Linked DNA regions of Arabidopsis thaliana. The protein of the gene in region 1 interacts with the protein of each later gene in a pairwise test. Each region holds a gene or a part of one and is shown in the gene's direction. Other genes may lie near its edges.

The links.
Region 2: the proteins of AT1G30790 (region 1) and SK16 interact in a two-hybrid assay, tested with the Arabidopsis thaliana proteins (one study listed by BioGRID).

Annotation. Positions count from the first base shown.
Region 1 is NC_003070.9:10,930,850-10,934,610, forward strand, and holds AT1G30790 (F-box and associated interaction domains-containing protein), read left to right. Parts: upstream 1-1,863; coding exon 1,864-3,063; 3' UTR 3,064-3,217; downstream 3,218-3,761.
Region 2 is NC_003071.7:962,214-965,562, forward strand, and holds SK16 (SKP1-like 16), read left to right. Parts: upstream 1-2,000; 5' UTR 2,001-2,018; coding exon 2,019-2,531; 3' UTR 2,532-2,688; downstream 2,689-3,349. Other genes in the region: AT2G03180 (uncharacterized protein), read left to right, coding at 551-913. UniProt on the Arabidopsis thaliana protein: Involved in ubiquitination and subsequent proteasomal degradation of target proteins. Together with CUL1, RBX1 and a F-box protein, it forms a SCF E3 ubiquitin ligase complex. The functional specificity of this complex depends on the type of F-box protein.

The DNA of each region.
Region 1 (3,761 bases):
GAGCTTAGGTACATCCCGACGCCGGCGAGCAAAAGCTCCACCAGCGTCGGAAAATAGATTCATGAGGATGTCTTCGATTTTCGTGCTTGGGAGAGTTCACGGTTTTTTTTTCTCATTTTCTTATAGCTTTTCTCAGACGACTGCCACTAGATTTTAATGTTTGTTTTTGATAATTAGAAAAAAAATCTTCGAATTAAATATTTGACATTTAACAATCTTCCCTAAATCTCTCCACATTAACTACACGATTAATTACTAAAATAAAACTTTCAAAATATTTAATATCATTTAATTACTACAAAATTATCATTTTTGATATTGCTTTTCTCCATGACTATAATAATTCGATTATAATCATCAAACCGCAGAGATATTTGATAGCATTTAATTACTACAAAATTACAAAATATTTAGACAATAATTCATAAACATATCATAAATAAGATCAACATTAATAATATAAATGGTTTTTTTACGGAGCGGGTTGGCGGGACGTTACTTAATAATAATTGTAAACTATAAAATAAAAATATTTTATAGATAGATATAATTTGCAAACTTTTATGTATACTAACTTTAAAAAATAAATTATTCTCGCGGTGTACCGCGGGTTAAAATCTAAGACAATATATTATTAGAACCAATTACAAGTTCAAAAACAATTATCATGTCTAGAAAATAACAACAATTTTTTTGATATGGTATACATATTAGTTTTAAATTCAAGCAAGAACGAATACAAATTTAAACAAAAGAAAAATACTAAAATTATATTTTATTAAAGTTTCTCACATATAACACATTTATAGTTGATATATATATATATATGTATATATAATTATTATTTTATGATATTAATGAGACCTTAATGTTTACATAGTATTTATTGATTTATCATTTTTTTACATTAGTTCCAATTTTGTACCAATTTTTTTTATTAATTTATAAAGATTATTAATTTATTGAATATTAATTTATAGAGATTTTACTGTAATAGGTCTCTCCTATAAATGAAAAGGCTTTTACAAGTTTTCATAGGTATATCCTTGATCCTAAGTCCATGGATTTGAGTTCTGCAACCTTATACCGAGTAAATTTGCAACACTGATGTGAGAAGATAAAAAGACACAAATATGACTATATGGGCTTCCCACCCGATTTGAGCTTTCCACCCGATTTGAGCTTCGACCAAGTAAAGCTTTTTGAGCGAAGATTTCTTTTAAGTCAAACAGAGCACGTACTTATGTTTGTGTCTTTATCTCTCTGATCTCATCTTTTACAATTACAAAACAAAACAAGTAAAAGAATTTGAACGAAAATTTGGGTTCACCTCTAGGGGTGAGCCCTTATATTCACCTCCTTTTGCATTAACCAATAAAAACATGTCATGTCAAATCCTACTTAATTACATAATAAATTAAAGCTATAATTATAAATCCAAACCGATATATAATCTCGTTTAATTACAAAATCTAAACCCTAATTCTCCTTTGTAAATTCAAACCGCCATTTAAACTCATTTAATCGTAAAAAAAAACTAAACTCTAATCATATCTTGTAAACCCAAACCGACATTTAACCTCATTTAATTACAAAATCTAAATATGTTTATAAACCTAAACCAATATTTAATCCGTTTAATTATAAAATTTAAACTCTAATCGTACTTTCTAAACCCAAACCGATATTTAACCTCGTTTTCTAATAAACCATAATTTCGTTTTAGTAGTAAATTAGATTTTATAATTAAATTAAATTTTTATTATTATTTTTAAGTGCCAAATTTTAATTGGTTAAAATAAACGAGACGAATATAAGGGTTCACCCCTACTACTTTTCAAAGAATTTAGGTCAGCCGTCATCATGAAACGTCAGGAGATAGATCATATCCCCTTTGATCTAACGGTGGAGATTCTCACCAGATTACCAGCCAAATCTCTTATGAAGTTCAAATGCGTTTCCAAGTTATGGTCGTCCATTATCCATAACCAAAGCTTCATCGATTCCTTCTACTCCATTTCCTCAACACGACCACGGTTTATAGTCGCTTTCAGCAACGGTTCATTTCCCAGTGATAAGGAGAAGCGTTTGTTCATCTTCTCGTCCTCACACGAGGGACATGAATCTTCTTCTTCAGTGATAACCAATCTCGATACGACAATACCTTCTCTAACTGTTTCTAATAACCTTGCGTCACGGTGTATTTCCGTCAATGGTTTTATAGCCTGTTCACTTTACACAAGATTCACGATATGTAACCCTAGCACTAGACAAGTCATTGTCTTACCAATCTTACCCTCAGGTCGTGCTCCAGATATGAGAAGCACATGTATAGGGTATGATCCGGTGGATGATCAATTCAAAGCTTTGGCTCTTATTTCTTCTTGCATACCTAATAAAGATAGTACTGTAGAGCACTTGGTGTTGACTCTAAAAGGCGACAAGAAAAATTACTCATGGAGGCAAATCCAAGGAAACAACAACATTCCACCTTATTCCCCTGTGACTATGAGAGTATGCATCAACGGGGTTGTGTATTATGGTGCTTGGACTCCAAGACAAAGTATGAATGCAGTGATCGTTTGTTTTGATGTTAGATCCGAGAAGATAACTTTTATCAAAACACCTAAGGATGTCGTAAGATGGTGCAATGATTCAATTTTGATGGAATATAAAGGGAAGTTAGCTTCCATTGTAAGAAACCGTTATTCTCGTTTCGATACTTTTGATTTGTGGGTGTTAGAAGATATCGAGAAACAAGAATGGTCAAAGCAAACATGTGAGATTCCTCTCTCTGTGTGGGATTCTGTTGAGAACTTTAACATGTCTTTTCCAGGTATTAACAAGTTTGGTGAGATCATTCTAGCACCAACATGCTTGTCAGGCTATCATCTTCGATCCTTCTACATTTTCTATTACCATGTAGAAACAAAGAAGATTAGAAGAGTTAGGCTTGAAGGAATTGCAGATGATGAAAATTTTAGGCGGTGCTATGGAATTGGAAGTGGTCAATGTAACGTCTTTATCTCACCGGAACATGTTGAAACTATAAGGTTTCTGTAATGTTTCTTTATTCAAGGATATGTCATGTTTGCTTCTTTTGTTTACTCACATGTATGTGTTGATTTCTAGGTACCAAACAAATTGGTTTGATACTATGGGATCTTGAACAAAAGAAATGATGTGTTGTCTAAAACACCAGTGATTCATATTTAAGTTGGATGTAGAATCCTTGCTCAAAATTTATGAAATGTTTTCTCTTCTCTTTGCTCTGATTCTTTCTTTTAATCGTTAAATTGATTGGAAATTTTTTACATTTTTATTTGCAACCAAAACATTTTTCCCCAACGTATGGACACAGCTGAGTGATTGTCCTTTTAATATAACCTTGCACCTCAAAGCGCCTAAGGATGTTATTTGCTGGGAAGATGAATCAATTTAGATAGAATACAAAGGGAAGGTAGCTTTCATTGTAAGACACCCTTATGCTGGTTTTCAAAGTTTTGATTTGTGGATGCTAGAGGATGTGAAGACACATGATTGGTCCAAGCAAACATTTGAGCTTCCCTTCTCTTTGCGTTTGGGTACAAATGTGACTTCCCCGGGCACCAACAAGGCTGGTGAAATCATTTTTGCCCCAAAAACTCTGTCACGCGAAGACATCAGAAGAGTTAGGCTCCTAGGAATTGGAAATAATGAAGAATTTAGGAGCCGTTATGGATTCGTAAACGGTTGTTACGTATCTATCTCACCCGAACACA
Region 2 (3,349 bases), on another chromosome or scaffold:
CCTATTTAATATTTATATATAGTTATACGTACAAAATAATTTAGTTTATATTATTATTATTTATTTTTTTCCTTTTCCTTCCCAAATCTAGGATGGGAATAAAATACTTCGTTTTAATATTCTTTTTTTTCTTTTCGGGTTGATAATTGAGAGGTTAAGATTTTCTTAGAGCGATTTATTATTTTATGATATTAAAATATACGGACGATATACTGAAAGAAAATTCATGCGAGAGGATGTTAATATGCAAATTAATACTATTCAGTTGAATTTTGCCATGCAATCTTTTTGGTCGTAAATTTTGTTGAAAACTTATCCAATCTCATATGAAGCGTCCCAAGGCCCATATCAACACTTATTACGTAGAAAACATCATAAAGCGAGAGAAAAAGAGAGAGAGGCAGAGAGATAGGAGCGTATGGGCTTTCTTTTTTGTTTTGTCAAACAACTTTAATTTACTTAAAACCTAAAAGAGGGATGTTCATACAAATAGAAACTGAAAAAAACACAAAAGGAGGAGAGATAATGGCTCCATGAGTTTTTCAAAAAGATGCTCATCTTTAAAGAGTTTGCAAAGATTAAAAAATCTGTTGAAGCAAAAATTGGGTTCGCCCATAAAGACAGACTTCACAAATTCCTCGACCACCATGTGGTTATAGATGGCTCGAGCGAACAACGCATACAAGCTTTTAAGAAAACGTTCCACGGAAGAAGCTGCCGGATAAGAGAGATTGTCGAAGATTCGGTAACTACTTCTCCTTGGAGATGCAGTCAAAATGCCGTTATTCTTCAAACTTTGAAAGGTTTGCAAATTGATCAAGAGCTTGTCGAGCCTAAAGAGTTGCTCACCTTAAGAATTACTAAAGATTGCTTTATAATCCTAGAAAAACCACCAATCGCAGATGTTGTGTAATGTCATATACATGAGCTCAGAATTCAGAGGAAATGGATTTAAAGGATTGAGAAAACTTCGGTAATCATCGTTCCGTAAAGACGGGCTCATAATGCTGAATTTCTTCAAGCTTTTGGTTTCATGAATTAATTTCCGTAGAGAAGGAGCGTATGGCTTAGTTCTAGAGAACTTGTTCTTGTCTTTGATGCCTAAAGCAAAAAAAAAAATTAGCCCATTAACAAGTAATAGAAAAAAAAATACACAAAAACTGTAGACTATATCGAACTCGTCTAATTGAAAGGCAACATAACCACTGTGCCAGAAAAACTTTTTGGAAATTGATGCCCTCTAAATCATTAATACCGTTTGGCGCCTAAAGCCCATGCTTCACCAGCTTTAGCTCAGGGCCGGCCCTGGACATCATAGTGCTCCTGGTAACTCGTTTCTGTTTTGGAGTACCCCGGTAAAATTAAGTTATGAGTCTGCCACTACATAACTGCCATAATAAAAAAGTCAAAACATCTAAACCACATTTAATTACTTATATAAACAATATTCCTCAGAATTAGATTGTTTAAATTAATCTAATAAAGTTATTGACAAAAAAAAAATTGTTGCTAAAATGCTAAATGTTGAAAAAGTAAGTATCTTAGAACAAAGTACATGTCATCAAATTAATTATTTCTAAAACTTATAAATAAAAAAATCTCACTATATTATACTATATTTAATATTTACATTGAGTTGATAAGAGATACCAAAAATTAAATTTTGCTTTTAGGTGAAATCCTATCTATAATGGTTAATATTTTTAAAATATTAAATTACAATATTAGTATAACTTATATAAAATCTAATCAATATAATTTTATTAGCATGTGTGTAGTATATGTATGGGTCAAATATTAAAAGAAAATATAAGAGCCTAACAATTAATTATATAGTAGGATTTTGTTATATTTATTTTTCCTTACTATATTTCCTAAATTAAAGATTTGACCCACTCTCAACTCATTATAAAAAGAGAGACATTATTTCATAGCTTCATCAATTTTATTCAACAATTTCTCTCATTTCATTTCTTCCATAAAATCTCTCAAAAATCAACAAAACAACAAAACAAACAATGTCTTCGAACAAGATTGTGTTGACTAGCTCGGATGATGAATCGTTCGAGGTTGAGGAAGCGGTGGCTCGTAAATTGAAGGTCATAGCACACATGATCGATGACGACTGCGCCGATAAAGCAATCCCGCTTGAAAACGTCACCGGAAATATCCTCGCTTTGGTTATCGAGTATTGCAAGAAACACGTACTTGATGATGTTGATGATAGTGATGATTCTACTGAAGCAACAAGCGAAAATGTAAACGAGGAAGCCAAGAACGAGCTCAGGACTTGGGACGCAGAGTTCATGAAAGAATTTGATATGGAAACAGTCATGAAACTCATTCTCGCTGTTAATTATCTCAACGTCCAAGATCTTCTTGGTCTCACTTGCCAGACCGTTGCAGATCACATGAAAGATATGTCGCCAGAGGAAGTTCGAGAACTCTTTAACATTGAGAATGATTACACACCTGAAGAAGAAGACGCGATTCGTAAGGAAAACGCTTGGGCTTTTGAGGATCTAAAGTAAAACCATAAAGTTCCGTTTTCTAAGTGTTGATCTCGATGTTCTTTAATCTTTGTTGATTGCATTCGTTTCTTTGAATTCATGGTTTGTGGTTTCCTTTTGTATTTCATCATGTTATAATGTTTAACAATATTTACTTATATATGCCAATGTTAATTAATTCTTTCCAACCAAAAAGCCTCTGGCGATTCTGAATTCTTTCGCCAGCGGAACAGTATAAAATATAGCGTACATCGCCACCGTTTGATGAAGACTTGGGCACTGGAAATTTATCAAAATACATGTGCCCTAGGGCTTCTCTCTGTTAAAAAATTAAACATTTACGATTTCTTTTAGCCACGTAGTGAAAATTCATAATGAAATGATAATTCAATGCATACCTACACATATCGCATATGTATTATTTTACATTAAATGTAATAAATTAAATCATTTCATATTTTCTAAATAATGTAATGGTATTTTTCTATCATAGAAAGTTATTTGTGAAAAGTATGAAAGCATTTAATTACATTTAATGTAAATTAATACATATGGGATTTGCACCCAAAATTAAAATAAAATAAAATAATAATAATCCATATGGGATATGTGGCTATGTATGCATGCATTGAACTATAATTTTCATTATCTACATTTATAAATTAGTTTTAAGAGAGGCTTCACAATGGGTCGATTTAGCAAGAATATATAAATTATTACGGGCCCTTTAAAGCCCATAATATACTAAACATCCCGTGAGTGTCAATTGTCAAAGGCTAAAAGCTAATTCAAGCAATCACATTTTAGTCTAATCCTTTTCATGTTCCGAGATATCGACC